Linked DNA regions of Mus musculus. The protein of the gene in region 3 purifies or fractionates together with the protein of the main gene of each other region. This does not show direct contact. Links are inferred from orthologs where the notes say so. Each region holds a gene or a part of one and is shown on either strand. Other genes may lie near its edges.

The links.
Region 1: the proteins of Ocrl (region 3) and Rab1a purify together in Homo sapiens (co-immunoprecipitation; 3 studies listed by BioGRID and IntAct, with this or other methods). This does not show direct contact. The link is inferred for Mus musculus from reciprocal best matches to the Homo sapiens genes OCRL and RAB1A.
Region 2: the proteins of Ocrl (region 3) and Ap2a1 purify together in Homo sapiens (affinity purification with mass spectrometry; 3 studies listed by BioGRID and IntAct, counting the BioPlex papers as one, with this or other methods). This does not show direct contact. The link is inferred for Mus musculus from reciprocal best matches to the Homo sapiens genes OCRL and AP2A1.
Region 4: the proteins of Ocrl (region 3) and Pheta1 purify together in Homo sapiens (co-immunoprecipitation; 5 studies listed by BioGRID and IntAct, counting the BioPlex papers as one, with this or other methods). This does not show direct contact. The link is inferred for Mus musculus from reciprocal best matches to the Homo sapiens genes OCRL and PHETA1.

The regions. Positions count from the first base shown.
Region 1 is NC_000077.6:20,220,942-20,225,998, reverse strand, and holds part of Rab1a (ras-related protein Rab-1A), read right to left. Parts: exon of another isoform or gene 4,291-5,057; intron 3,133-4,290; exon of another isoform or gene 2,916-3,132; coding exon 2,820-2,915; intron 1,633-2,819; coding exon 1,501-1,632; intron 1,352-1,500; coding exon 1,154-1,351; 3' UTR 1-1,153. UniProt on the Homo sapiens protein: The small GTPases Rab are key regulators of intracellular membrane trafficking, from the formation of transport vesicles to their fusion with membranes.
Region 2 is NC_000073.6:44,911,904-44,916,960, forward strand, and holds part of Ap2a1 (AP-2 complex subunit alpha-1), read right to left. Parts: intron 4,568-5,057; coding exon 4,499-4,567; intron 4,403-4,498; coding exon 4,260-4,402; intron 4,132-4,259; coding exon 3,938-4,131; intron 1-3,937.
Region 3 is NC_000086.7:47,960,297-47,965,353, reverse strand, and holds part of Ocrl (inositol polyphosphate 5-phosphatase OCRL), read right to left. Parts: intron 4,902-5,057; coding exon 4,785-4,901; intron 3,978-4,784; coding exon 3,893-3,977; intron 3,275-3,892; coding exon 3,147-3,274; intron 2,214-3,146; coding exon 2,102-2,213; intron 1,895-2,101; coding exon 1,770-1,894; 3' UTR 1-1,769. UniProt on the Homo sapiens protein: Catalyzes the hydrolysis of the 5-position phosphate of phosphatidylinositol 4,5-bisphosphate (PtdIns(4,5)P2) and phosphatidylinositol-3,4,5-bisphosphate (PtdIns(3,4,5)P3), with the greatest catalytic activity towards PtdIns(4,5)P2.
Region 4 is NC_000071.6:121,851,027-121,855,691, reverse strand, and holds the end of Pheta1 (sesquipedalian-1), read right to left. Parts: intron 4,525-4,665; 5' UTR 4,413-4,524; intron 3,142-4,412; 5' UTR 3,116-3,141; coding exon 2,315-3,115; 3' UTR 1,088-2,314; downstream 1-1,087. UniProt on the Homo sapiens protein: Plays a role in endocytic trafficking. Required for receptor recycling from endosomes, both to the trans-Golgi network and the plasma membrane.

The sequences.
Region 1 (5,057 bases), on a different chromosome or scaffold from region 3:
CGCACACCTTCAGTCTCAGCACTCAGAGACAGAGCTAGGTGGATCCCTGAGTTCGAGGCCAGCCTGGTCTACAGAGAGAGTTCCAGGACAGCCAGGGATACACAGAGAAACCCTATCTCCAATAGCCAAAAAGAAAAAAGAAAGAAAAAGGTGTGTGCGCCATCAGACTGAGCATGAAGAAACACCAGCACTATTACCAGATCACTGCCTGGGAGGAAGCATGGGCTGCTCTCCATCTCTACCACAGATGAGGGAAAAAAGGGTTGCTGGTGAAGCCACTTCAGGTGGCCTGGGCTGGAGATGAAGCACTAGAGTTTGAGTTCCTTGAACCAATGAAGGTGGTGAAGTCTCTACACAGCACAAAAGCTTCTCTAGGTCACTCATCAGACCTATTACTAGAAAGCAAACCCTGGATGCTGTGCTATTAAGATAGGTCTACAGTGCCCTTGCTGCACACACGTGGCTGCTGAGTAGAATGCAAAGCTCTATTTCCCTTTAATCATAGGAATTAAAACAATACTTATCACCATACAGTTTGATATTACTTCCAATAAGTACAATATTTATTAAACATATCTTCAGTTTTGTTACATAGTGTGCAACAAATTACAATATTCTGCAGCCACAAATTATATGCAGAGTATGAAGAAACTATTAATCAGATAGTGTAATCTTTCCATTTATAACTCTACCAGGAAGAACTAGCAAATCAGATCTTACATATAACGTCTCACTAAACTTTATGCGTGGAAACTGACAGACACTGGTTGTGCTGTGTGATACAAAATGGCTGAACTTCATCTTCAGAAGACTAAACCCAACATCTAAACATGCCAATATAAACATCAAAACAAAATATATTCTAACCAACCACGGGAAACGATCTGGTATCAGGAAAGCAACAAGGATTACACACATTATTTTATAAACCAGCACACAAAGGTTTAAAACAGTTCTGAAAATGAAGTTAGCGGTCTTGAGTCAAGGGAATAAAAAAAAAAGTCAGTATTGACCATTTACAATCTCTGACCTTGTGGAAACGGTAAGAATCTGTTGTAGTGCAGCTACATACAGTACAATTCAGGCAATTTTGTTTTTTCACTTGGGTTCAGATTGCGAATTCATTGCTGTGAGAAAAGGACGGAGGCAGATTTTAGCAGCAGCCTCCACCTGACTGCTTGACTGGAGTGCTCTGGATTTTAACATTGGACTTCTCGGCACCACCAGCTGTAGCTCCAGGACCCATTCGCTTTTTAATCTCAGCTGCCATCGTCATGAAAGACTGTTCTACATTCGTTGCGTTCTTAGCACTGGTTTCCAAAAATGGAATTCCAAGGGAATCTGCAAATTCCTGAGAGAATAATAAGGCACAGTGAACAATGGAAAATCCTTCTGACTTAGTCTTCTGAAATGGGAATGGGGGACTAAGCTCACTGGCTTTTACAGGGTGAGGCAGTCCCCATAATTAAATTCAGTGTCAAAGTCAAACCTCATACATACCTTTGCTGTTGTGTAGTCTACTACTTTCTTTGTGGTCAGGTCACATTTGTTCCCTACCAACAACTTGTTGACATTTTCACTGGCGTAGCGATCTATCTCCTGCAGCCACTGTTTAACGTTATTGAAGGACTCCTAGGGAGAGAAGAATGGTGATGCAGTTGCTCGAGGCCACTGCTGCTCTAACTAAGGAAAGAAATCAACTAACTTGAGGTATACACCCCGTCAATGACCCCGTCAATGATAAGAAAGACTCAAAGGCCTGAAGTGAAAAGAGCTTATTTGGAAGGGGAAACAGTTGAAGTTTAATGACAGGCAAGCCCAATTTTAAATTGAAATTTTAAAATATTGTCAAGACCTAGTTTCTGAAACAGTAAAATCCTGTTAAATAAATAAAAGCTGGGTGCAGTGGCACAGCTTTAATTCCAGTACTTGGGAGACAGATACAGACTGAGCTCTTGAGCTCCAGGCCAGCCAGAACTACACTGTGAGATCCTGACTCAAAAACAAACAAACAAAAAACTGGTTATGAAAAACAACAGTATCGCTACTATTATTTGGCCTAGGTGCACCTCAGTGCTGACAATTTGCTGGGCATACAGAAAGCCCTGATCTTAAACCCCACTACAAACAAGATGTGGGATGCGGAAGAGAAATCTTATAAAAAAACAGGTGACAATTTTCCTTGTTTTTTTCACATAAAAATATGCTGGGCATGGTAGTGAATGCCTTTAGTTCCAGTGCTTAGGGGACAGAGGCAGGCAGATCTTTGAGCCCAAGGTCAGGTTTGTCTATAAACAGCCAAGATCACAGGGAAACTTGTCTTGAAGAACAAACAAATTATGGTAATAGATTACATATTTAAAATTAACCAGTTATGCCTGCTTTGGGTGTTTGCTTTACTGAGATGAGGTTTTGCTCTGCTGCCTAGACAGGTCTCAATCTCCTGAGCTCCTGTTTCAGCCTCCCAAGTAGCTGAAGGTACATGACATCATGCTAATGTAGCATTTTCTTTCCCTATTCATATTCGCTTATCTTTTGCTTGTATGGTAAATCTCTTAATTTATCTCCAAATTAACAATATAATTCAGATAGTTCAGATTTAACATTTGCTATAAGAAAATGAGTTGTTTTTATTTCTCGATTAGTAAAAATAAATTTCTAGTCAAAAGTTTCAGGGCTGTTCAAAAGCATTCAAGGGCAGCCTGACCACATAGTGAGTTCAGGTCAGCCAGAACTACACAGTGAGATTGTGTCAAAATCCACACACATACACTACTTTCTACTTTGTTGGTAACATGTAACATTCTCTAGAAACTTACCTGATCTGTCACATCATACACAACTATGATGCCATGGGCTCCTCTGTAATAACTGGAAGTGATTGTTCGAAATCTTTCCTGGCCTGCTGTGTCCCACTATAGAAAACAATCAGAGAAGGCAAACAATTCCATTAAAACATACTTGGGAGAAAGTACAGGAGAAAATTGTAGATTATTAGGATTTGAGATGCCAGCAGTATTTAATGCTTACATTATTAAATTGCAGTATTTAATGCTTACATTATTAAATTGCATTGCAGGTATCAAATATGTTAAAAATCCAGAAGAGAAGATAATGCCTACGGTTTAGCAGGTAGTACTAATACCAAAATTCTAAATTCTTTGAGAACATAAGCTATGCTAGGCTATTCTAGGCTGTTGGTAAAAAATATAGAGTCCAGAGCCCAGAGCTTACTTCATGGCTGCAGTATTTGTCACAGACCAGGCTCGGCCATGCCCTAGGGTAACAAGGAGGTGCTATCTCAGGCTCAGCAAAAATAACGTAAGGAAAATGTTTCTAAACACCTTTAAAATAAAACTCATTTTTCTAAGCGGAGAAGGGGCATGGAGAGATGGCTTAATGGTTAAGAGGATATATTGGTCTTCTAGAGAACCTGAGTTCAATTCCCAGGACCCATACTAAGTGGTTTACCAATGCTTGTAACTCTAGTTTCAAAGGCACCCAGTGCCTCTGGTTTCTTTGGGCACATGCATTCATATACACTTCACTTAATAAAAATATTTTTTAATGGGGAAAAGCAAGCAAGATAGGCCAGCAAAAGCTATGCAAACCTGACAACCAGAAGTCAATCCCTAGAACCCATGATAGAAGGAAGAAACTATAAAAAGTTGTCCTCTGGCCAAATATGGTGTTTAGTGCCTATAGTCCCTGCACTGAGGAGGCAAAAGCAGGGGTGGAACTCTGTGGGTTCAAGACTGTCCTTATCTATACAGCAAGTTCCAGGACAACTAGGGCTATATAGTGAGAGACCCTCTTTCAAACATAAAAATCAGTGAAGACCTGGCCATCATGACTAAACAATAAAACATGAAAGGAAGGGCTGGTGAGATGGCTCAGTGGGTAAGAGCACCCGACTGCTCTTCCGAAGGTCTGAAGTTCAAATCCCAGCAACCACATGGTGGCTCACAACCATCTGTAACAAGATCTGATCTGACGCCCTCTTCTGGAGTGTCTGAAGACAGCTACAGTGTACTTACATGTAATAAATAAATAAATCTTTAAAAAAAAAAAAAAAAAAAAAAAAAAAAAAACATGAAAGGAAAAGACTTAAGAGTACTTGGGAGAAAAAAAAACACAGCCCATCAAGTTGAAATGCAATGGGCTAGACACACAATTTTGCATTTAAATTTTTATAACACCAATTCATGGAATATTCTCATTCTCTCTCTCTCTCTCTCTCTCTCTCTCTCTCTCTCTCTCTCTCTCTCTCTCACACACACACACACACAGAGAGAGAGAGACAGACACATTTTCTTTTTGTGTGTATGTACAGTATGTGTATATAGAGACCTAAGGCTAAAGTCTTCCTGGATTACACTCCACCTTACTGAGGCAAGATCTCTCGGTGAATACAGAGCTCCTGTAACCCAGTGCCTCTGCCTTCCATGGATTGCAGGTGGGTCCCCACAGCTACACAGCATTTTCATGGGTGAATTCTGGTCCTCACATTTACAAGTACTTTATCTACCCGACCATATCTGCAGCCATTTATACCCTTTATACACACAACCCCCAAATTAAAGACAAGCAACCCTAAATCTTCAAGTGCAGACGACTCGGGATGTAGTTAATGCAAACTCACCCATTCCTTTATAGTCTTTGGTAGATTAACAATAAGCATTGAATCCCTGAAGTCCAAGAGAGAAATTTTATTTTATTTTTATGTGTATGAGTGCTTTGCCTGCATGTATGTCTGTGCACTAAGTACATGCCTGTTAGCCACAAAAGCATATAGAAGGCATGGGATTTATTGGGGTTGAAATTATGGTGTGTACAGCATGAGTGCTGGGAAATTAAACCCCCCCCCAGTGCACAGAGCCACCTCTTCACACCCAAAGGGAGAAAATTTTTAAGAAATTCAGAAAAGTTTGTCTCACATACGTATTGTACTATATTTTAGGAATCCCTTTTTATAAAAGGTACTTGAAAATGCAAGACTAACCCGAATTTAAAAGTTTCTAAAAACAACTCCAAAAAGGAATGATCAACTGAGCAAG
Region 2 (5,057 bases), on a different chromosome or scaffold from region 3:
AGCATGGCCACAAGGGATGCCCCTTGGAGTAGGAGCAGCCCAGTTGGAACATGGAGAGTCCTATCTCAGGGCCACTGACAGGGGAGCAGACAAAATAGCATAGAGGGCTGGTATCTGCCCAGCTCTAAAGCTTTAAGGCTTATTGCAAATATAAAGGTTTGTGTTTTTATTTGGAAACTAAATGATCTAAGGTGGGTGGAAATCCTCAAATATTAACTACAACACAAATCTTTAAGGTAAGAGGGGGTCTGCAGATAGGTTTGGCAGCTGAGTCAAATAACCATAACATTTGTGAGGCTGAGGCAAAGGGTTAGAAATTTAAAGACAGTATGGGCTACATAGTGGTTTCAAGGTCAGCACAGGTACAGAGCGACTATGTGCCCCCAGACAAACAAAGAAAATTCTGTCTCAAAAAGAATCAACCCTGGCCAGGCGTGGTGGCACACACGGTTAATCTCAGCCCTCGGGAGGCAGAGGAAGGTGGATTTCTGAGTTCGAGGCCAGCCTGGTCTACAGAGTGAGTTCCAGGACAGCCAGGGCTATACAGAGAAACCCTGTCTCAAAAAACAAAAAGAAAAAAAAAGAAAAACAACAAAACCTTGACCTAGCAGTTTCACAGCTAGGAGCCAACACAAGAGTACTGCAGACTCCACTCAGTGAGAGCAGCATGCCTGTCAGAAGGGAGATCTGTGACAATGGACACAGAAAACATGCTCTGTCAGGCGTGTGTGTGTGTGTGTGTGTGTGTGTGTGTGTGTGTGTGTCTAGCCATGTGTGTATGTGTGTGTGTGTGTGTGTATAGCACACATATCTGTATAGTGTATATGTCTATATAGTGTGTGCAGTGTATGTGTATACTGTACAGTTTTTGTGTGTGCATAATGTGTGTGCATGTGCATATGAAGACCAGAAATCAACACTAGTGACCTCCCCTGTAGCTGCCTACCCAATTTTTTAGATAGATCTTTCACTGAACCTGGGGCTCACTGAGTAGGTAGCTGGGCTGTCCTGGCAGCCCATGGCTGGGGTTACAGGTAGAATACTGACACTCAGCTGTCTGTGTGCTGTGGACTCCAGACACCAGGTCCTCACGCCTGCACCACAAGCGCTTTACTAACTGAGCCAGCTCCCAGCTCCAGGCATTAAGTCTGACACTCACCACAGACAGACGAACAAACTCAAAACACACCTTACTGAGAGAAAGCTACAGACTTGGTCACTGCACATTCCACAGCGCTTCAGACAAAGCCTCAGCATGGGCCAGTGGGCTCCGAGGGGAGAGGGGGTGACAGACCTGCCCACAACACAGGGCGCACTCTCTCGGGGAGTGACAACAGTGCTCTGGAATTGGGTAGTGGTTAATGATCGCACACAAGAGTCCATCAAAAACCAAAAAACCACTGCCCTGCGCACAGTTAGCAGATCTGAGCTAGATATGGCGGTACATGACTGTATGGTGAAACTCAGGAGGCAGGAATCACCAAAAGTTCTACACCAGCTAAGGCTACACAGTGAAATCCTACCTCAAAAACAAACAGATAATAGATACTGTATGTCTGTCTAAATTCAGAGGCTAAGAAGCAGGAGAAACAGTTCAAGGTCATGCTCAGCTACCTACTAGTGAGTTCAAGGCCAGCCCAGGCTACACTGGACCACCTCAATAAGCAAATCAAAACAAAAGCAGGCAAGCAATCAGTCTGGGTTCCCTAGTGAGAGCCTAGCTCAAACTCTGAGTTTAAAGCTATTAACTGACCAATTAGGAGACAGGATCTGGCTGTGCTACAAAGTGGTCGTACATTCTTAACCCTGCCTAAGTTTCCCCAGTGCTGCACCCATAACGGCCCTTTAGTCCTTGTCCTCCTGTATGCCAGCCCATCCTCTAGCTCTACCTAGCACATTGGGCCACCATGGAGCCCGCCTTCAATGCTGCTTCTCTGCTTGTTCACAGCCTCCCTTCTCAGAGACTACATACATGTGCATGGGGTACATACATATGTAGACAAAACACCCATCCACATAGAATAAAAGTAACAATCTTGGAAGGATCCTTTGGGACAGCTTGGCCTTGCTTGGCTTACACTGCTTCAAAGGTGAACTTAGGGATGGGTATTTGGTGACCCAGGCAGGATGAGGCAGCTGTGGACGTAGGGGCCTGCAATCCCAGCATTAAATCGGAAGCTGGAGGGTCAGCGCAAGGCCAACCTGGGCTACATGATACCCTGTTTCAAACAAACACACAGAGCAGGCTAGCAGCCAACTCTGGTTGCTGTGATAAGGATGGAGACAGGTAATTTTGCATACAGTTCCCAGGGGCGTTTATTTCTAGGCCACCTACACTTTGATGTGTGGCTTCCCACAGCCTCTACTTGGACAAGCTTTTCTCTGCTCCCAGAGGCTATATTCCTCCCCCACCCAAATATACGACTCAGCCCCCTCCTGCCCCCCCCCATCATAAAAGGCTTTAGAAGCCCAGGCTGCCTAAGACCAACTCTGTCAGAGTTGGCTGCTCCTGGCTGGGTCTCCATGCGCCTTAATTACTGGCTAGCTTAAGACTCCATTAATTAATATTAACTCTTGCTCCTTTGTTCAAAATAAAGTCTTTCTTTTCTCTTTGACACAGGGTCTCACTGTGGAGCCCAGGCTGGCCTCAGACTTGTCCCAGTCCTCCTCCTTCCTACATGTGTCACTACGCCCAGATCAGCCACTGTCAAGAACCCCAGCAGCACCTGTCTACACTGCCAGAAATAGAAATCTCACCCTGGGCACAGCAGCCATGGTGACTTTTCTAAAAGACAACACTGCTCCTGTTATTCAACTGCCTGACAGACACCAGTTACCCCAACTTCCACAGGAAGCAGAGGCAGACTCCCCAAAGTCTCTCCCATGCTCTCTATCCCCCATCCACAGAGAATGCCTGATGGACCACACACCTATACCCAGAGCCTTGACACCTGCTGAGCCTTTTGCACAAGGCACCCAATATCCTCAGGTGACCACTGATTCCTGACTGTTCTACAACATTATCCATCACCCCCTGGAGAATCCCCTCTGACTTGTTAATGAAAGCCTTTTTTCAGAGCTAGGGAGATGGCTCAGTGGTTAAGAGCACTGACTGCTCTTCCAGAGGTCCTGAGTTCCCACATGGTGGCTCACAACCATCTGTAATGGGATCCAATGCCCTCTTCTGGTGTGTCTGAAGACAGCTACAATGTACTCATATAAATAAAATTAAAACAAACAAAAAGCAAACAAAAGGGAGACGTTGTTTCCACGCAGTGTCTTCTGTAGCCTAGGAACCACTGACTATCAGACCATGCCTTGAACTTCTGCTCCTCTTGCCTTCATACGAGGTTTACAGGTGCGCAGGTGGAAGGACCCCAGGGTCCTTTGCAGGCCACAGCTGCAGCCCACCTGTGCATCTTCAGGTACCTTGGAATTACAGACAGGTACCCCGGCACTTGGGAAGGCAAGGTCTCCTGCCACTGCTCTTTGAGAATCAGAGCCATGTTACCAACAGCTCGGCATGTAAACCGCTCAGGAGCCAGCCGGGAAGCTTCCTGAAGTAGTCAGGTGGCACAGCGTCACAATTGACCCGTCTGAAACCCTGCCTGTCCTCACCCAGCAGACACTGGACACCTTCCTGGCTGCAACACTGAGACTGTCCACCTCTGTTGGTGGCACCAGTGTCAGCCATCAGTGCTGCAGGCACAGATGAGGGAACAAGTCAACGTACCCACAGGAGACACTAACACTGTGTCTCTGACACACGACTACCGGGTGGGATGGGTCCTTACACCTTCTAGGCATCCAGGTGACATGAGAGAGACAGAGACTCTGGGGTCTAAAGCCGAGGTGGGAAAACCTAGGAAGGTGCCATAAACAAAGCTGGCTCTCATCTCCTGCTTGTGCCCTTTTGCTGTGGTCCCCAGTGCCTCACCCAGCCACCAGGATTCGGGGAATGTCTGCAGCAAAAGCCTCGCCCATCTCACGGCTGCCCACGTTAGCGATACAGTGCAAGGCCAGGCACATGAAGGTGGGGTTGCGACTGGCCAGGTCATTCTTGATAGCGTTGTTGATGAGCCGGATCAGTTCTGAGTTCGAGTTCACCAGGACTGAGATGAACAGGTACCCCTGTGGGGCAGAGAAGGGACAGCTGGGCACCTGTGGCTAAAGGGCACTAGACCAGCATGCAACAGCGTCTAAGTGGACCCGAGCCCACCTCCCTCTGCCCCTGCCCCTGTCTGGTCTCCTGCACTCACTATCTGCTTCTCCGTGTACTTGTTAGAGCTTAGCAGGTTCACGGCCTCCATATGTCCAAAGTCAATGTCATGGCCAAGCAGGAATATGAAGAGCAGCTTACACACATACTTCTTTTTACTGTAGCCATCCAAGGCCTTGTCCCCTGAGGCAGAGGATGGGAAAGGGAGCCAAGTAAGGAAGCGTCCCCTAAACACCTTGGGCCCTGGATCCCTCCCCAGGCCCTGGGCCAGCAGCTTGCCTTTGAACTTGGAACGGATGTTGGCCAGTTCCTTGTTGATCCTCTTGATCTCAGCCTCTTTGCTCTTGCCTGTGGAGAGACGGCAAGGCACACAAGGCCACAGGCAAGGTTATATATAAGCTTTCCGCCACCCCTTCCTCCTCCCGGTGGCCCATGAGCTGCAAGGTGCTGGGGCTTGTTTTGGGGGGGGGGGAGTCTACCACACCCTGCCATGGAAGCCCAAAGGCCCACCTCTCTTTTTACTGTGTTCTTTTTTTTCTTTTTTAAGATTTATTAATTATTATACTTAAGTACACTGTAGCTGACTTCAGATGCATCCAAAGGGGGTGTGTCAGATCTCATTATGGATGGTTATAAGCCACCATGTGGCCCCCCCTCTCATGTTCTGCCCCTGAGCACCTCACAGTCGAGCTGGGACCATCCAATCACTGAAGAGCTCTGCTGGCTCCTGCCACCTCCTTCAGCAACAGCACGGGACAGCACCCTCCCCACACCCCTCCTTCCCCTCTCTTAACCCCTATGTCTACACTGTCCCTAAACCTCTGCTATGACAGAAGAT
Region 3 (5,057 bases):
TTGCTCATCTAAAGACCCAAGCTTGGCGAGGTATTATAAAATGGGCACAGGAGAGGCATTCCCCTGTGGACCACCTTGCTCCAGCTCCTACCATCTGCTTCTTCAGTGATTACTTTCTGGCCTAATAGATATGACAAAATTCTTCTGCTCTCCGTCTTCCACTAATCAACTGTTGACCCAATCAGATCTTCAGTGAGCTGGCACCAATACTTTGATTCCGATTTCCCAACTCCCAATTATTTAAGGGCTTAACTACTGCAGGATACATACCTTTTGTTCTCCCAAGAACTCAATTTTGAAGAGATGAGGGAGCTGGAAAACCATTTGATGGTGGATGTTTTCCTGGCCCTCTCCTTGGATGGTACAAGATACTACTGATGGAATCAGTGCCCAAGATTGTACACACAGCCTATATGAGCGCCTTACATCAGATGTTAATAGGCAAGAATGACACGACTTGGGTTGGTTTGGTGAATGAAACCAAGCAAGTCAATTTCACCAGGCAGTTTTGCAGCCAGAAGCTGGCAGCTGGTTTGTCAGTCAACAAAGTAATTTTTAAAAAGTTTGTCTGTCCCACAAAGCTTGAATAAAATGAAAACCTTAGAGTCATTTCAAGTGGAAGAGGTAATGTGTGTGGCTGGTCCCACGGACCAGTCTCTCTTACACAGCACTTGATATAGTGTCAAGGAGTCAAGGGCAGTCTTTTTAAGTCTTTGCTTGAAGGAGGCGGATGTGGAGCTCAGAGTGAGCCCTGTTGAGAGAGGCCAGTAACTTTCCCCGACACTTTAGGAGATAGGAGAATGGGTTCTGAGGGTTACCCTCAATGCTTGGTTTGGAGGGCGAGGAAAGCTCCTGGGACCTCACTTGAGGTGCACAGACTTCTCTTTTGACTGTGATGCAAACATGACTCTGGAAGTGGGTTTCTAGTGGGGGAGATGGGGACCAACATGCAGGATTGCTCCGCATGTCAAGTGTGGATAGTAGCCGGGCACGGGGACTGGGAAGCAGGGATGTTTTCATTCTGATATACTCACAGTGCTTTCCTCGCTGTTGTGATGTTTCTCACATCAGTGGGACGCCATCTCTATAGTCCATAAAATTATGTAACTAACCATGGTCTGAGACAAGGGAATCGGGCTCCACCAAGTGTGGTTCCCCACGAAGGCCAACATTACAGTGACATACAGATATCATTGTAGTAGAACTGCACAAACGCTTGTAACAATCACATGGAGACAGTGAACTTCACTGTTCAGGACACCCACAGAGTCACTAGCCTCATCCAGGCTTCCTTCAAAGTGAGAGCATGGAGGAAGTGTGCAAAGTAGTGACATGAGGAGAGGGTGGGTCCAAAGTGCATCATACAAAGAACTGTAGACAAGTCTGAGCTATAGCAAGTAGTACTTGTAGGCTTAGAACAGGAAGGCCTCTCAATCCAGGCCTAGGGTATTAAAGATAATCATGAGGACTGGGAAGCAGGGCAGAAAACATACCCCTAGGTAAAGGTGTGTAAATACAGACCTCTTTGCTTTACAAAGAGTAAACACAAAAACACCGAAATATGGTAACTTTGGCTTGGCAATATATGTCTAAAAGGATTTTGCTGTGTAGGATATGGTAAGGAAGGATTAGGAAAACTCTTCCCTTTGTACTACTAACAGAATGTAAGATCCTACAGTAGACCCTTTTTGTGTGATAACTTTTCAGATCATTTTGAAGTAGTCGGAGCCCAAGGTCTTCCTCCTCTAGAATCTCGGATAGGAAAAGACTTAGTCTTCCTCGTTCCCAAGCAGGAAGACCAAGAGGAACTGGATGGCATGCTGGCGGTCATTTGGAGTCTGTCTTGTCATGAGGTTTGGTGGAGGTCTTAGGAGAAGGCTACTGAACAGGGTAGCTAGAGGGTGGAAGAAAGAAAAGGGGAAGCCCACTGTCAGACATTACCTAAGCAAAACCTCAAGGCTCGGGGTGCAGGGAACAAGAACAGCAGGAGGGAAGGGACTGCCATGTTCCCAAAAATCAAATATGGTACACATTATGCACAATGCATCCAGATTCTGTCCAACAAGCACTCTGCACAGACTCTCTCATGAAGCCCCCTTACCAATCATGTTGGTGTTGATATTGTTGTAGTCAGAGAATTTTAAGAGTTCACGAAGGAATGCCATCAAGTAGCGGAAAACATTTCTATGGCACCTTGGAAGCTGGGAAATGACCTGTTTTTTAGAGACGAGTGTGTAAGAAGGTTAAATGGCTCATAGGGAATGAGACTCCAAAGCTGCCATAAGAACAATTTGTAACCCAACTGTTAGAAGCCCCATTTGTCTGTCACTACCCTCTATTATCATAAGCAGTATTTTACGTGCCAGATTATGACTCTGGAGTAAGTATGGTTTGGTTTCTCTCTATTCAAAGACCAGGCCATGTAGTCAGCACAGAGTCACGTTCACACAGTGCCTCACCAGAAGGAAAGTGTCCATCTGTTATTTTTCCTTTTCCCCTCACAGCAAAGGCATCAGTCAACTTGTTTTTCTCTAAAATGCCACTTGGCGATGATGGGTACCTCCTACCAACACTCACTGATGTGATTCATAGCTAGGCTCAGCCATTGTGGACCACAATCTTTGCAAGATCCAAAACACATCAAGAAGGAGAGAAGGAGGAGGTGGCGGTGGCTCCCAACTGTCATCTACCCTTTCAGCTAATGACAACTAGAACTGCACTTACAATTCATTTTGCAATCTCACTCCAGGGTGAGAAGTATCCACCTCACTATGTTTTTCTGTTAACAGAAATAGGCAAGCTAGAAAATATTCGAAAATAATACTACCTAAATTCAACTTTACTCATTTAGGGGGGGTGGGGCTGGGGAGGGGCCATGTGGAGATCAGAGAACAACTAGTAGGGGTTGATTGTTTTTCTTCCATCACTTGTGTTCTCTGGATCAAACTTAGGTCAATAGGCTTAGTGGCAAGTACCTTTACCCATTGAACCATCTCACTGGCTCCCTCAAGGATCTTAATTTTTAGCTATGGTGTCCTATCATAAATAACCGACCCAGGCCCATTCTATCATAGAGCTTTGTAAAACTGACCGTTTCTCTATGGGAGAATCTGCACTGAGCATATCCTCAGAGCACCAAAACTCACCTGTTTGCAGATCCGAGGATCATGAGCAGAGTCAAGACATCGCTGATACAGCTCATAACAGATGACTGGCTCTGGCAGAGCTTCCAGGAAAATGAGCAGTGCTTCAGCCACAGAATGGTTATTGCCAGCTGAATTACCTTGAGTTAAAGGAAGAGGAACCCAGAAAAAAAGCCACACAGACACCTGTCTGGCTCCCTTCCTCAAGCCTCTACAGGGATGGTTTTTCTCTTCTCTTTCGGCACACACTATCCCTGATTGTGGTTTTATAGTGGTCCAGGTGCTCTGCAGCTGAGTCGGTACAGAATTTCCCAGTCCCTTGGGAGGTTTCACTATAACTAGAGACTTGGAAAACATAGCCTGCACCATGACAGGGTCCACTGGATGGGTTATAAACTAGCTGCCAGTGTTTCCTCTCATTCTTCTTCCTGCCCTCTGAAAGCACATGGCTGGGAAGGTTAGCAGGAACGACCAACTGGCAGAAGAACACTCCTGGTGCTAGGGCTCCTATGTCCAGTGCTCATTAGAATTTGTTGTTAGGTTCCCCTTGATCCCTCTTAGTCTGTTTTGACACAAAGGGAGACTAAACGTTCCTGAAATGTCTTGAGAAAACAAATGGATAGTCACTGACTATCTTAAAATAAGGCAATGGAAAACATCCGGGTAGAAAGACAAGCATCAAGTACAGGGGAGAAAAAACTTTGCCCAAGTATCTGTCCATATTCTCAAGCCCTGGGCAGAAAGGATACGAATTGTCTCAGGAATGCTGGTATCCAGGCAATCAATGATCTGCTGTAACTCCTCCTGCATTCCAGGGGTTTGGAACAAGTCCTCCTAGCAAAGAAGGATGAATGAAGGGGACAAGACAAGATAGCCAGCCCCAGTTCTGAGCTGGTCCAGAAACTAGGAGAGCAACAGGCCAAAAAGTGAAGGGTGGCACATGTATTAACACTTAGGGAAGGAAGTTTGCTCATAGTATTGCTTTCCTTTAGTATTTCTATAATCCATGTGAAATGTTATTTCAAGCAAGAAAATGACCTGTCAGAAAAATGACATTTCACTCTCTACTTGATAAGGCAAGAGACTAGATGGCCAGATCAGGAAGCCCAGTAGTGCACCAAGGAGCCTCTAGGAAACACAGTGTACCCTGCACAAGTGCAGCCATTGACAAATGTGGACAGAATTGGATGAAGGGAAAAGTGTGAATGGCACATTCATGATACAACTTGGCTTCTGAGTTATAGTGCTCTTAGTAGATCTGAGAACATCACCCTTCAATTTGGTCAAAGAAAGTTCTATTTTTAAAAAGAGGAATGAGTTGGGAGTAGCTAGGGTTTTAGCATAGGGTTTAAAAGAAAACCCAGTGTTCTGTTAAAGAAATGGGCTTGAAGTCACTATAATAGTCAGAGTACTCAGTTGTTCAGAGCAAAGCGTATAAGCAAGGCATGGACATTCTCAGTTCTGTTCCTGCCTCTGCCCTCAGACTCAGAGTTAGCTTAGCTTGTATGCTTTAGTGCTCGGACATTATAGCCACATGGAGGCTTCCTGGCATGGTTAAACGCACTATGTGGATATGAAGCTTAATTTCCTATATGATTCATATACACGCTGCAGTTGCAGGGAAGGTTTTCCCTCACTTACCTGGTGACATGCATATTTGAACAAGTGATCTACTAGAAGCCAGATCTCTTTGGGGACTTGAAGGGGTCGCTCACTGGTACCTTCATCCAAGGGTACCATCTGCAGAAGGGATTTCTCCTAACAGATGAAAAGGGATTAGAATCAAAGGGCCTCAGAAGAAAGCATTACATCTCCTTCAAAACCTTCTCGAGTGGATACAATGTGATCTTTGTCTCTTTTTTTAAATTTTTTTATTAGGTATTTTCCTCATCTACATTTCCAATGCTATCCTAA
Region 4 (4,665 bases), on a different chromosome or scaffold from region 3:
CCACTGCAGCAACCTTGCACTAGGGTCCACCCCTCCACATTGTCCCCAACCTTGGTCACTTTTCTCATAGCAACTATCTGATGGACACTGGGTGACCCCCACAAACATCTCACTGGGCCAAACTAGAGTCTGATCCAAATAGATTGATAACTTGGGGTAGGTACCTATGATCTCAGGCCTGAGTGTTCCGCCATCCCCAGCTGCCCCTTAGAATGTTCCTGACCACACCGTGCCTCAAGATACGTTGGACCTTGCCTACATAACCGTAGTAGGAGGGCAGAGAGGGATGTCAGCATTGACTTTGTCCCCAAGGCCACCTGTCTGTCACTCCAAGGAGTATTTTGATAAGGACACACCTGTGACACTGCCTCTTGGAGCAGCCTCCCCACACCCCCCAATCCTTCTACTTCCCCGATCCTGTGCCCAGGAGGGACTGTAGTCACCAGTGGCCTGACTCAGTTGGCTGTGGCCCCAGGCGATGGGAGGACACGGTATGTACACTCAGCGGCACATGGTCCCCTGACCATAGTGAATTTGAACATGAGTTACACGTGGCTTGCTCAGATCCGAAAGTCCCGGAATTAAGTCCCGGAAGGCACTTGATTTTTCCAGGCTGCCAAGGGAGAGCTCTGGCACGTCCTGAGGCTACATTTGGAAGTCCCTGGGCTTCAACCATCATGCTGGGCTACCCTGGGCCTGCCCCTTCCTTTCCCTTCCCTTGGCTTGGACCCCTTCCCATTTTACATACCTCCTCCGAACTCTCAGGCGACTGGGCCCGGCCCACCTGTCAATCATCTTTTCATCTTTCTTTAGGCCCTGTAGTCCACCATTTATTCCCGAGGTCATCCAGCTGACTCTCCAGCTGTGCGGCCTTGGCAACCTCTATGGACCTCCACCCCCCTACACACACACATACACACACACACACACACACACACACACACACACACACACAAAGATGAGGCTAGCATCTTCCCTAAGAGGTGCTGAGACTGCCTAGCTAGAGGACAACAATCCCTCCTTTCTAGGACCCCGCAAAATATATCAACTGTGGATTCTGCAGGGAGAACAATAATACACCCAGCCATTTCTCGACCGGCTTTTATTTTGGCCCTCATACCCTGTCCATGATTGATAACTCTCCTAGCCCCAGAATCAGCTGGTGTTCACCTTGTGCTTTGGGGAGAGGGAACAACTCTGCCCTTGTCTCCCCCACCTCCTGCCCCGTACCTTTAGAGTTTGTAAGCCCGTCCCAGACTAGAGTCTACACCTCAGCCGTATGACTCCAGTGGGAGAGTTGAGGAGACAGACCAAGTCCCCAGAGGCACCACCTGTGCAGACAGCTGAGCTCAGGAGACAGAGGGCCAAGTCAGGGCCAAGTCAGCTAGGCGCCCGTGTGTCTCCTGCGAGGGCCTGGCTCCCTGGAGACAATGCCACCCCTTGCAGCCAACAGTAACAAAAGTGGCAGGGGTGAGACTGGACTACTTAACTTCACTGGTGGAAGACAGTAGCCTCTGTACTTCAAAGAAAAACCCACAGCCAAGTGCCCTGGCCCCTGAGCCAGCAGAGAGCCAAGAGGCCCTGGCGACAGACAGAAGCACCCATGGGACCCAGCCACCCCACCCCCCAGAGGAGAGGGAGGGGCCAGGGTGAAATCTGTTCATAGGATGCAGCGATTGGAGTGTCCCCTCAGGGCAGGGCACTGAGGAGGACTGTAAACAAGAACCCAGGTGGGGCCGGCTGTCCTGCCCAACCCTCTGGAAGACAGCCAGCACTGTGGTGAGAGAGAAGTAGGCCCAGTCCTGAGGCCCACTGGTCACCTGCAGTGGCTAGGGACAGTGCCTGGGCTCTCCCTGCTGCAGGCATGGAATCAGTCGGAGGCCTGTCTCCTCCAGGTGAAACTGGGAGGAAGCTGGGTCCCAGGCCAGGACCGAGGTCAGGGGAGGCCCTGCTTCTGCCCGGGCTCACCTACAAAGCTGGACACAGTCCTGACTTAGCTGGTTCCAGGCCAGGAGCCTGGGGGACCTATCCAGTTCAAGTCCCACATTCCACCTACTGGTGTAGGCCCACAGCAGCCCAGACAGCAGCTTCCAGGTTCAAGCTTTAGATCCTTGAGAGGCACCAGGTAAACCCTGGGCCCCATGGGCCTGTGGCCAGCTTCGGGGCTGTCAAGGTCACACAGGCCACCCTGGCGCGGAGTTCTCTAGAAACCAGCTCCTTGGGCTCTAGAAGCACCCTCAGGTTCACGTTCCAGATTCTTCTCAGAAGTAAGTGCCTCTGACCCCAGGGGCACAGGTCTCCTGAGTCATATGTCCTATGTCCCCTGGGAGCCTGGATTGCAAACAGGCCATTCTACGGAACGGAATACATGTAATACCTTACACCCACTATGTCCCCTTAGGGCTGGCTGGTCCTGGGTCTGAGTCTCAGCAGAACCAGGATGCCAGGGGACCTCTAAGCTGGCTAGGCCAGCCTGGCCTCCGCGCCACTGGTCCCTAAGGGCCTGCACCTCTAGTCCATATCGCGCATGCAGCTGGGCGAAGGATGCCAAGGGCCCGTTGGCCGCTGAGGCCCTGCGGCGGGGTGGCAGTGGCGGCGGCCGCTGAGGGGCTACCGAGGGCTGCTCGGGCAGCGTGCTCCACACTACCCAGCCGTTCTCCTTGGGTCTCTGGGTCAAAACCGGGCTCGGGTTGGCGGGTAAGGCGTTGGCGGGGCTTCCCTCGCGCATGGCAGCCAGTTGCTGTTCCAGCTCCCGCACCACCAAGCGCAGATAGTGGAAGCTGGCCCGGGACAGTGCCTTCACCCAGCCCTCCAGGGCTGCCTGGCTGTCAGCGGCCAGCACGTACGGCCGGGATCGGCCCCCGGCAAAGCGCACTGCGAAGGCGAACTCCTCCCGGGCATCCACCAGCTCCACCGTGCAGCCCTCCAGCAGGATGACGCCCAGCGGCTCGCGGCTGCCTTCTGCCTCGAAGTAAAAGAGGATATTGCCCCGGAGCACGAACCAGCGCCGGTGCGAGCCGGTCCCACGGCCACCACGCTTGTACAGGAAGCCGGCGTTGTCCACCGGGGCATCGCAGGTTGCGTAGAAGGCCAAGCTGCGCTCGTTGAGCTTCATGGTCACGAGGAGCTGCAACCTGTCCCCTGCGCGGGAGCAGATGTTACTACTAGGATCATCCAGGACTCCCAGGCCACCAGCAGCCTCCTCCCACCACACCCACCCCAAGGCCCCTCAGTGAGCACAGTGAGACAGGACTCAAACCAGGATCTCGCACGGCCATCTGGAGGGCTCCTGCTGCCCTTGACCAGGGAAGGTAGCATTAAGTGTCAGCTCACCAGACATTTTGCATAGGTTAGCTCTATCTAGCAATGACCTTGGGTGGTGTGTGCTGGTTTTATGTTTGCATCTGTGTGTCAGTGTCAGATGGGGAAACAAAGGCACAACCTTTGTCAGCCACCAAGCAAAGGTCACAAAACAAGCTGACTAGAGCCTTTGCTCGTGCCTGGAGATCCCAGGTCTGTGACTCAGCCTTGGTTTGTAGGTCAGGTTGGTGAGAGAGGGAGCTGTAGGGAAGAGCATGAGGGCGCGAGGTGGGGTGGGTGAGGTGAGGGGGAACAACATGGACAGAGGGACAACAGGATAGGGACACCACAGCAAACACAAAGTTAAATCCTCCGGCTGTGGAGAGGGTGACCAGAGGAGGGCAGGAGTGGAGGAAACCCCAGAGTACCGGAGCAACTGTTGGAAAATAACCTAGATAAAATGCAGGCTCAGCCCAGACTGTCAGGGCGGAAGGGACAGGGCGCCCTAACATAGACCTCCCGAAAAGTACACACTGGGGCAGCAGCGGGCAGTAGGGCCTGTCGGGGAGTGGCACGTGGGTTACCAGTGTGGCCACTTGGAGGAGGCAGGCCCTGCACCCGTAGGGTCCCCGTCACAGCCTTGCTTCGTGCAGATGGCTGGCATACTTTTGAAGAGCCTGGAATGTCTGTAGCAGGCACCCCACTAACACCCAGCCCCTCTGCCTGTGCCGTGCTTTACCCTTGGTCTGCAGGGATGAGGTCAGGGTGGTGGCTCTGTAGGGCCAGGCTGCGCCACCTGACCTGGGTGGAGAGAGAAACTGCTGCCAGACAAATACTTAATTTTTGCCACCTCATGCCACCCACGTTACAGTTGGGGACAGCTTCCTGCCAGATCAGAGGCCAAGACTTGTTTGGCCCAGAGCATTGGGGCTGGGGCCTCGGGGTCCTGAAGGCTCAGGTGAGTTTAATCCCTGCTTTGCCTCTGGCTGCTGTGTAGCTTTTTATGCCAGCTGCACCTCTCTGTGCCTCTGTTTTTCTCTGCACAAGGGACTCACACACCCCTCCCAAATCAATTGCACGAGACTGACAGGCCTACTTCTCCCAGAACCTACCACAGGCTGCCCACCCAGTTCTGCTCAATCACTTTGAAGGTCAGCTCACAGTCTCCAGGCTGGGTCACTTCAGGGGCACACAGTCAGTCTCTCTGGACCTCTAGCTCTTCATCTATAATGTAAGAGCAAAATTATCCACGTCAAGGTTATGACAATGAGACAGAACACAGGGAACCAGGGCCTCTGGCCATGGCAGCAGGTGACGGTGTACTCGGCTTCCTTCTAGTCCATCCTGCTTCAGCAAGTGGCCCCT